3 linked regions of the Schizosaccharomyces pombe genome follow. The protein of the gene in region 1 purifies or fractionates together with the protein of each later gene. This does not show direct contact. Each region holds a gene or a part of one and is shown in the gene's direction. Other genes may lie near its edges.

Region 1 (3,412 bases):
AGAGCCGATGGTTGCTTTTTTGGCGAACAAGATACACTTTACCCACATCACCCTGACCAAGAAGACGTATTTTTTCAAAACTATGAGGTGTGACTTCTACTCGGCTAATTTTTGTACTATTCCCAGAATAAGTTCGTTTGCCGTACTCAGTTCTTCCAAAAATGTAGTTGCCGGGGTTTTTTAAAATCTTGACCTGTGCCTTTCGAATATTGCTCATATTAATTAAAGGACGAGGAGGAGGCGCTTCTACTCCTTTGTGAGAATCAGGTGCGGAAGATACGCGTCTAAGGCTGGGACGACTATCCAATTGATCGCTACTATCATTCAGATCTAATTCATTCAATTGATTAACATTAATATCAAAGGTTGAGTCATCAGAATCATTATCCCTCTGATCATTTCGGACACTAGTAGAAACGGTTGCCGCTCGATTCCTACGAAAGTGAAACAAATTTTTCAGTTTATCTGAAAAGTGCGACTGGCTCATACCATCATCGGTGGAAGAGGGACTTTTGTCATTAAATTCAGTTTCTCGAGCCATTCTAAGTCATCCATTAATCTCGTAGCGCTTCAAACATTCACCGGTTAATAAATTTCGCTGACGGCTCACTTATAATACCTAATATAAATCAGAATGTAAGCAAACTTGAAAAACGACTTCAAAGCTCCCAAATAGTCTAATATAACTAGCCGAATGGTATTCCTCCTGCTTATATTAATTCTTGTTTCATTTGGAGGTGTCGGCAAAAGAATAGTTAGTGGAGCCACGGCCATCCTTATGTTATATAATCCTCTTTTTAAGCATATAGAAATAAACAGTCATATTGTAGCATTAACTAACAAGCAGCTTCAAAATACTTAGTTGAAGCTATTGTAAATAAAAGAAAAAACTTGTTTTTGGTTTTTATGTGTGGGTATTGATCTGTAGTTTTGTAGTAAATTCAGTTTGAATAATTCTTACTGGAACAGAATAAGTGTTAGAATAAATGCAGTGATTTTTAATTTCATATTCTCAAGAGTGACTGTATGATTTATAAGTACACGAGCTATGGAAGCACAACATTTAATCATGTATTTCTTCCACTTTCAACTACAAAAGAGGCTACTCTAAACCCAAACATTATCCGAAATGTCGATGTACATTTGTCGATATCGCTGGCATTTTCAATTAGTCCGACTCATGTGGTATTAGTATGAGGATGGATAGTTGATTCGATATTAGAAGCTGTCATATCAATTTAAATATAATTTCTTAGCAGTGCTTTCATTGAGATAGAGCAATACGATAGAAACAATCTGAAGAATTCATTAAAACTGTTACATTAAAAAACGACTTGATGTCAATATTGTTTTTGGAATGTTTTTCATTAAATGAGAAAACAAAAAGATATAGCAGTTTAGTAAGTATCTCAATGCAATTTTTTAATAGGAAAACAGGTTCCTTAAGCAACTCTGAATAATTGTAAATAACCTGGTTTCAAACTTTCGTTGGCGGTTTGTGCTCACGAAGTCAAATAGGGAGGCAGTATGAACATTATAGATGAGTTGAACTAAAACTTTGAGTGGAAAACAATGTGTGTTTCATCCAAATAGTCGATTGCTTGTGTTTGTTTTTGAGAGCTCAACAGATAAAAGAGTGTGTACCAATTTCTGACAAACTTAAGATATATATTTGACAACAATGAAAAAATGTTTTATTTAAAGGTGTCAAAACACACATATACAAAAATCATTTATTCTCTGTTTTCCCAAGAATTTTCTAGTACGAAAGCCGATTCTTGAACATGGAAGTCGTCAGTCAATTATCAAAGTATAATTACGCATAATTTGTTTTTTTTAAATCTAAAAAGTAGAAAAAGTGAGTATTTTTTGCTTATTGAGTCAAGATTTCTTTGTATTTATTTATGTGCTTACTATCCAAACTCTACCACTTTGCTTCTTCTCTTGACGTGTCATATTCTTGGTTTTTACATAATTAACTTTACATTATTAGATTCTAAAACGTTAACTATAACATTTTTTGAATAAACAATAGTGAAATTTAGGATTGTGAGCGTTTTGGATAATTTTTTAGGAATTTTAAATCATACTGCAGTAACAGCATAAAAAAGGCATTTTCATTACAAAAATTTCATGCGTCTTAATGCTGAATTTTTGTCTCAGGTACCCTCATTCATCAGTCCTTTGAAAGAAACTGAGCTTGATTTAAGATATGTTTAAAGAAATTACTGTATGCTACGTGTCATCCAGCTAACTCATAATTACAGGGTATCAGATTCCAATAATTGAAAATTTAGGAGTGTTAAGGGACGTACACGATGCAATTGATTTCACAGACAATGACATTCGATATTTAGGGAATTTCCCTCGTATGAAAAGGCTTCAAACGCTTTTGTGTGGAAATAACCGAATAACTGCTATAGCCCCAGACATAGGTAAAGTTCTTCCGAATTTAAAGACTTTATCCCTAGCACAAAATCATCTTCAAGAAATAGCAGATTTAGATCCGTTGGCTAGTTGTCCTCAACTCACTAATTTGTCGTGCATTGACAATCCAGTTGCTCAAAAACAATATTATAGATTATATCTTATATGGAGAATTCCTTCGTTACATATTTTAGATTTCGAACGGGTTAGAAGAAATGAAAGGCTTCGTGCTGAAGAAGTGTTTGGTCAAATTCAAAACCCTACAGAAATAGCTTCCTCTATTATGGGTGTGAAAAGTCGAGTATTTGATTTGGCTGCATTGGTACAAAGCCACCCAGAAGCGAATTCTCCTATTACAACTGGATATACACTTACACCTGAGGAAAGAGAAAAGATCAAAGAAGCCATTAAAAATGCCTCTTCCATTGCTGAGATAAATCGACTGGAAGCTATGCTATTAGAGGGGAAAATTCCAAAATAAAGTAACTCACAAGATTTCTAGAAACCGCATAGTTATATAATACATTTTTTCCATCTCATTTCTTGCATTCGATAGGTAACGCGTTTAATAGTTATTTAAGGCATCAAATCGTTAATCGTAAACAAAAACCGTCAATTCTTTAATGCTGTAGCAATTTAGCAATCCTTTCGTTCCTCGTGAGTAATCAGAATTATGCTGTATTCATTAGCTTTAAATAGTAATGATAATCTTACCTTCCAAATATTCCGCAGTGACCAATAATTCTAAAACCATCTCAGGTGGGATATCGAACTTTGGAATATCTAATTGATTTTTATATCTGTAATTGTAATGCAAATATTCACAAACTTTTTCCAACAGTGTTGCCCTAGACACCTTATTAGAATTGAATGAATAGACCAATTGCATACCGTATATCAGGAAATGTGCATTCATTTTTTTGCGCCTCAGAAAATATTCCTATACATTAGAATTACTTTACTAAATATCATTATCAAACCTTCG
Region 2 (3,758 bases), on another chromosome or scaffold:
GTACTGTTGAAAGTCTAAGCTTTTAAATCACTCCACAAGTACAACATATAAATCTACCTTGAATAAGTGTGAGTGAATCAAATATTTTAATCATAATTACCAGCTTAAACTTATATATAAAAGTAACGTGTCACTTGAGAACCTAGCAGCTGTAAAAATTGCAGTCCTTTAAGTTTACTACTGTTCTTCACCAGAACTAATTGTTTATGGTTTGAATTTCTATTTATCTATTTTATTGAGCGTTTTAGCATGCCAAAATTTAAGGGCCCTGGACTTTCTGTGCTGAAGAAAAAAATTCGCGACAATGAGAGATTATTGAAAAAGGTGTGTAATTTTTTTGCTGGTTTAAAAACATCTGCGGTTTCAGTGTGTAATAAATATTACCTTCCTTTTTATGTTAATGAATAAGAAAACTAACTTCCTTTAAGGAGAATTTGCCTGCAAACATTCGTGTTGAACATGAACGAGCTCTTTTGGGTCTACAAGAGCAGTTGTCTATGGCACAGTTAGAGCATAAAAAGCAAAAGATTTTTGAAAGATACAAAAAAGTTCGATTTTTTGGTATGAAACATATATAAAAACAGCATTTTTTGTTCAGTGAACTTGCTTACTGATTTTCTCAGAACGTAAAAAAGCAGAACGACGTATTAAACAATTGGAAAAATCTTTGAAGGATGAAACTATGGATGATGAGAAACGCAAGCAGTGTGAGAAATCGATGCGTAAATGTCAAATTGATCTTATGTATATTAAAGTATGTTTGTATTTTCGACTTCATTTCAACTATCAACTTGGCTAAGATACTAACCTATTTAGGAATACCCCCCTTTAACAAAGTATGTTTCACTCTACGCAGAAGGCACATCTGAACAGACCGAAGAAACTCGAAATCGCATTTGGGCCGAGATGGAAGAACGCTTTAATAGTGGCAGAAAACACAAAATACCATCTTCAGGTTCCAACAGGGTTCCTGTACAGGAAAAAAGTTCAACTGGTGGTGATTTGGAAGATGAATTTTTGCAAAGATAAATGAAAACTTGGATTGAGGTTTTGGAAATAAAGGGATTAAATAGACGAAACTGTAATAATATGATTCATTCTTTTTAATAAAGGTTGTGAAGTTTCCATATGAGTTATCGAGCAAGGTATTCTTTTTATGCAAGTTTATTTAAATTTTTTCTATGTCATATTGCAATGGGATTTGCTAGGGTACCAAAAATAGAACTTGTGGGAGAGAAGCTTTTGGATCCTAAGGTTCACTGAAGATATTTTTCACATATTTCATTCTATAATCTAATATGCTAAAATTCGAATGATATTTCATGGAATATCAAATTAATAAAAATATAAATTTACAAGAATTTAAGTAAAAACAAAAAATTAGGACTTTCATTTTGTTCTGTTTTAGGTGGTCGAATTATTAGACAGTTTAATAGTCTTTATCATTGCAGCAGTGTTTTTAAGAGCTCTTAGATGGACTTTCGGTTTTATCATCACAGTACCCTGTTATTTGCCTGGCAAAAAGTTACCTAGTGGGGGTTTAAAAATCAACACCAGTATGTAGTATATACATTTTATAATAATTATTTTTACATTTGCTTCTATAGATTGGTATATTTGAATTTATGGGTTTAAGACCTCAATAATATGGTGTAGTATATTGACTTTGCGCCCTTGGTGGTGTCCACGGATACCTAACCTCCGCACCACACGAAGTTACGACTTGTTTAGTGTCGATATGGCTGAGGGCACAAGCCAAAGGCCATTAACGCCTTTGTCGCAGGCATTTTTGTCAACTAATACTCTTTCTCCTGCTTCTTCCCCTTTAACTTTCCATTCTGAGGCTGCATCTCTGCGTAGAAAACGGTCCAACTTTTTCCCCAAATTAGATGAATTAAATGGAGCTCAAGATGAAGAAATGAGAGGTCTTAATATTCCTGGAGGATCAGGATATCTCGAGAACCGATATGGTCGTGATAAGTTTACGTTTTCTGATGCAGCCGTTAACAGTGCTGGAATGGGAGGGTCTGGCATATTTTCCCACAACAATGCAGATGATGGTTTGGGTGATGGTTCTTCTACGGTTTTACCAAGTTCCCTTAAACAAATGCTGGATCCTGAAATTTCAACTGCCAATAATCCATCTGCAAAGCCTCGTCGAACTCGTCTTCAAACTGCTTGGAAAGAAGCAACTAATTCAGCAGGCCTTTCTCTCCGGTCTGCAAGTGCTTTAGATGTACTCAAAAATTCTGGACCTGCTACTACCTCATTACTTTCCTCAACAACATACCCTTTTGATAGTTTAAATGCATTCAACGAACCATCCCATTCACATGTACCAAACTCAGCTTCTAGCACTGCTCTGTCTAGAGGTATGAGCAACTCTGTAACTTTGACGGCACCCCCTGAACCTGATGAAGAGACCATTCCTACCGCGATTGTTATTAAAAATATTCCATTCTCCTTGAAGAAAGAAGTGTTGTTTAAAGTGTTCACTGCATTAGACATCCCACGTCCATACGCTTTTAATTATCATTTTGATAACGGAGTTTTTAGGGGCCTTGCCTTTGCTAATTTCCATTCTCCAGAGGAAGCCAAAACGGTTGTGCAAGTTTTGAATGGCTATGAAATTACTGGTCGTCGTCTTCGTGTTGAATGGAAGCGTCAACTACCGCCTGCGGAGCGTGAACGTGTTGAGCGTGGTAAACAAGAGAAACGCGCTGTAGAAGAACGAAAAAATCAATTGAAATCTCCGTTTTCTGTTGCCAATATAGGTGCTGGCATTGATTTTGATTTGAATGATCCAGCTATACTCAATGTATATTCTCATATCTTGTTATTTTATTATCGCAGCGATAACACTAATGATCTTGTATTTGATTCTTCAACCACCCAGGAAGAACGTCGGGTTGCTGCCTTATTAGCTTCCCGTCTCAATCTCAATCATTCAGTTACTGGTGACGGTGAAGCTAAGCAAGTGGTTATTACCATGCCTAGTACTCATTTTACTCCCGCTAATAATTCGAGTGCTAACCACTCTCCTTTGATGGCCCCAAACGCCAGTACTTTAAATCCTTCTTCTTTAGGTGCTTCCAATTTGAGCCAACCAAGTCTTGCAAATCACTTGAGCTCCTCTGGTTTATTTGACAATGGTCTTTTCTCGTCCGGTGGTCTTTCTAGTAATTTTTCAAGTCTTAGACGACCCGCTCCCTCTATGCATCTTGCGGATAGCATACGTTCTCTCAGAGGACTAAATGATTCTAAAGCCTTTTCCGACATACGTAGTATGCCAGCTACTCCGTTAGAACTTGCTACTCCTTTTGCTAATTTAAATGTTTCCTCTCCACTGGATCGCAATGCGACTAATTCATCAAATACTTTAAACGGTAGTGCGATGAACGATTATTTTGCAAGCCTTACTCCATCAAACACCGGTGCTATTGGATCCAGAACTTTTACAAAGAATTAGTCTTGGATTTTTTGTTTTTCCCTGCTTTTGATTAATCTTGTTTTGGCTATGTCTCGGGTTTTATTAAGTTTCATTTACCTTACGATAATAAGCGCTTTCAAGCAAATTTATACTTTGTACATAAAAACGACGAGTGAAATTATCTCAATGAATTATCCATTTTTACGACCTAGTGTTCAATTGAGGACATGATTTTCATGCTTATATCGTTTACATACTCACTTCGGATGTGCATGTGATCGGGCTCATGCTTTTAAACTATAATGTGATTCTTGTAAAACGAAAAGGA
Region 3 (3,758 bases), on another chromosome or scaffold:
AAGAGGAGGAGGTTTGAGATATAGTCCGCTTAGCAAGTCCAATTGATACACGAGGTTCACTAAGAACCACCGTAAAAATGCTTAAAAAAAGGAAGACTAGAGTGGAAAAACGAAAAGAAAACATGAACGACTTAGATTATTAACAAATTAAACGCGGGCTTTGTAAGATTTGAAATGAGTGACTAGAAAAGAGGGACTAGGCGGAATTAAAAAAAAACAAAAATAAAAAAACTTCAAAAATTAAGTAGTCCGCCTCTCGCATCAGATAGTTTTCGCTCAAAAATTGGAAACCAAATATTGTACAGAACAAACGCAGAAAGTCAAAAAGAAGTAGAGACGAAACCTGATTCAATCGAATAACACAGGCTGGTCTTATCGATCAAATTAAACGAAACCGCTCTCTATATGACAACTTTAACCGTGAGAGCAGTCAAAGTACGTTTCTTCTACGAGTGTTTCTTATTGAAAGTATAAAGTATTCTGGGTAAACAGCAAACTGTGGGATGAATAACCAGCATCGTGAAAGTGGCCAGTTTGGGGAGTTTTTCATAAACTTAGCGTATATGCCGGTAACCATGTTATAAACAGGCACATTACTTGACGGGAAATCGTTCCACGAGTCCCCAAGTGAAAGAAATGTAAATATAATAAGCGAAATTGTCGTGGGCATCAGTACTATACAAAAGTTGAGGTTTTAGCTCAGACAACTTTTTACCTACTAAACCAAACCTGGTTATGAGCAACAGACCCTTATTATAACATTAGCAATCAACAACAAAAATTTTTATAGTATTGATTTTTGATATCTTGCGTTCGTTCCGCTTTATCGGAAAGACTTTGGCAATTTTACCGATTCTCTAGAATCATGTAAAGTGACGAAAACAGAAGGCAGAAAGTCCAACCAAATATGGGCAAAAAAAACAACCACTTCAATAAATTGTTCCAGTTAACAGCAGTTTAGTTGTGTTCAAGTCAATTACCAGCGTTTCGCGTGAAACGTTACAGAAGTGTAAATAATGAAATACTGTTGCTTTCTCTTTGACTCTCATTCTTACACAAGGTCACTTTGCATAGTAGACCGTTGAAAAAGTAAAAAGGAATAGAGGAGAAAACAAGATTTGATTAATTTTTAACCACACCCAACGTATCCGCAAAATCTCATTGATTCAGTAACATTGACTATATGGTTCTTTCGGTAAGTTTGACTCGTTATTAAATAAAAAAAATAGAGGCAAATTGTTTGAATTATGTTTGCTATCAAATGATATCCATTGAGTTAAAAAGTACGCGATTTGATAGTCTCATGAAGACACACATAAAGAGAGAAAAATCCATCAACTCCACTTAAATTTAAAAAAAGGTGAGGTACATATAGAAACTTTAGTACAATTCGTATTGATCGCCTAAATCAATATTTTTGAAGTATTGAAAGTTCAAACATGCCTTACAGCTCATTTCTCATTACTTTGTAAGGTAGCTGGCTAATGACAACTATATATAGGCATTGAGCCATAAGTATGCTAACTTTCACTATTCATCGCTTGGCAAATCTTTTTCTTTATTAAATGTATCTCCTATAAACGTGGCACTACTTTTTTGAAAGTTATAAAGCACGTTGGGAGCTAATTTCAACTTTATAAACTTCGCAAAAAGTGAAAGAAAACACAAAGGTATAGATAGTTACAAGCCGCATTGCTAAGTTGATCTGATAATTCTTAACATCTAACGTAATCGAGTGTGTCGGAATAGTATTTATGAAAACTGTGAGATATCCCACTGAAAATGATTTATGTTGTCAAAAGCATCGTTAATACACTTAAGAATTACGCATTTCCTCGTGTGCCTTATTCGCAATAATTCTACTGTGTTGCTCACACTAATGCTAACAAGTACGGAATCCTAACTTAGGTGACCTAGCGTAATACTAGCTTCATTTACCAGTTGTTGTAATGCGTGCATTGATTTTCTTTCATACATTCTTGCAAGTAAATTTCCAAGTAATTTGAGGATTTATTTATTAAATTATTTCTCAAAGCTGCGAGAGCTTTTGGATTCATTCGAACAGAATTCATATGTCCATTATATCCATACAACTCGTACTCAACACCACTTCACACATCTGAGTGGAAAGTTGTTTATTATTTTCCAAAAATGGCCCTTTTATCCGAAGAACTTTCTAGGTAAACTTATATTTTTTTCTCAAATTCACTAACAACGCCGCAGTATACTTCCAAATCCTGATTTCGACGATGAAGAGGAAGATTATGTGGAGAGGGAAACATCACATGCAGATGAAAGACAAATTGGTGTCAAATTTCACATTCCTCCCTATGGACAAAGAAAGGGATGGTTTCCTTCTTCACCTGAAGACTTTGGCGATGGTGGAGCTTTTCCCGAAATCCATGTAGCACAATATCCTTTGGATATGGGCAGAAAAAGGTCAGCTAAATCTGCTGGTAATACATTGGCTCTACAGGTCACTTCTTCGGGCGCTGTTGACTATAATGCCATTGCTCGACAAGGTCACGAACATGGAGAGTTGGTACAGGCAAGCTTTCGAGATTTGATCCCCTTACGTGCACGACTAGGTGTGGGAGAAATTTCGTTAGAGAAACCGTCTGACGAGCAAAAGCAAGAAGTAGCGAATAAAACTAAGCTTGCCTTACAAAAAATACTTTCCAAACAAATCGCTCAGTCTCAACCTAAAAGTGCTGTGGTACAACAACGTGACGATCCTGTATACATTCGATATACTCCTAGCAATCAAATGGGACAAGCACTTAGCAAACAGAGGATTATCAAAATGGTCACAGCTGAACAGGATCCCATGGAACCACCAAAATTCCGTCACAAAAAGGTTCCTCGTGGACCACCTTCTCCTCCTCCTCCCGTCTTGCATTCTCCTCCACGAAAAGTTTCTGCTCAAGAACAACAAGATTGGCAAATACCTCCGAGTATTTCTAATTGGAAAAATCCGAAAGGCTACACTATTCCATTGGATAAGCGGCTGGCCGCTGATGGTCGTGGTCTTAATGATGTTGAAATCAACGATGGATTTGCCAAATTTTCTGAAGCATTGTACACGGTGGAGCGTCAAGCTCGTGAAGAGGTCCGATATCGTGCCATAATGCGCCAAAAGATGGCTGAAAAGGAAAAGCAGGAAAAGGAGCAACGTTTATTTATGCTTGCTCAAAAAGCAAGGGAAGATCGTATGGGTAGAAATGCGGCTTCTTCGGGTCCTTCACATGCAAAACCCCGCTCTACTTCTGTCTCCTCTGAAGAAAGAAGTCGTTCCAGAGCTGGATCGTTCTCGCATCATTCAGAGTCAGAAAATGAAGATGAGGATTCAGAAGCTTTTCGCCGTCGTCAAGAACTTCGCCGCGAGCGAAGACGCCAAGCTGAAAAGGATCTTCGTCTCAGTCGAATGGGTGCTGAAAAACGTGCTAAGCTTGCTGAAAAAGATCGACCTCGTGATGTCGCTGAAAGGGTTGCTTTAGGACTTTCAAAACCATCAATGTCAAGCGATACAATGATCGATAGTAGATTATTTAATCAGGCTTCTGGCTTAGGATCCGGATTTCAAGACGAAGACAGTTACAATGTGTATGATAAACCGTGGCGGGCGGCACCTTCATCAACGTTATATAGACCGGGTGCTACTTTGTCCCGTCAAGTTGATGCATCTGCAGAATTGGAACGTATTACTAGTGAAAGTCGTTATGATGTACTAGGAAATGCGCATAAAAAGTTCAAAGGAT

The links.
Region 2: the proteins of lea1 (region 1) and cip2 purify together in Schizosaccharomyces pombe (affinity purification with mass spectrometry, with the first as the bait; one large-scale study listed by BioGRID). This does not show direct contact.
Region 3: the proteins of lea1 (region 1) and prp45 purify together in Schizosaccharomyces pombe (affinity purification with western blotting; one large-scale study listed by BioGRID). This does not show direct contact.

What each region holds. Positions count from the first base shown.
Region 1 is NC_003423.3:4,144,785-4,148,196, reverse strand, and holds lea1 (U2 snRNP-associated protein Lea1), read left to right. Parts: upstream 1-1,926; 5' UTR 1,927-2,133; coding exon 2,134-2,214; intron 2,215-2,275; coding exon 2,276-2,908; 3' UTR 2,909-2,912; downstream 2,913-3,412. Other genes in the region: serine/threonine protein kinase Ppk22, read right to left, coding at 1-541; elc1 (elongin C), read right to left, coding at 3,099-3,103, 3,142-3,275, 3,319-3,367, 3,408-3,412.
Region 2 is NC_003424.3:343,110-346,867, reverse strand, and holds the start of cip2 (RNA-binding protein Cip2), read left to right. Parts: upstream 1-1,696; 5' UTR 1,697-1,738; coding exon 1,739-3,469; 3' UTR 3,470-3,758. Other genes in the region: efg1 (rRNA-processing protein), read left to right, coding at 250-324, 429-561, 624-754, 817-1,029. UniProt on the Schizosaccharomyces pombe protein: Regulates global gene expression after oxidative stress. Interacts and stabilizes mRNAs and may regulate their transition between different cytoplasmic components after oxidative stress.
Region 3 is NC_003421.2:1,500,541-1,504,298, forward strand, and holds the start of prp45 (Prp19 complex subunit Prp45), read left to right. Parts: upstream 1-2,102; 5' UTR 2,103-2,151; coding exon 2,152-2,180; exon of another isoform or gene 2,181-2,223; coding exon 2,224-3,758. Other genes in the region: SPOM_SPCC188.14 (uncharacterized protein), read right to left, coding at 431-670. UniProt on the Schizosaccharomyces pombe protein: Involved in pre-mRNA splicing.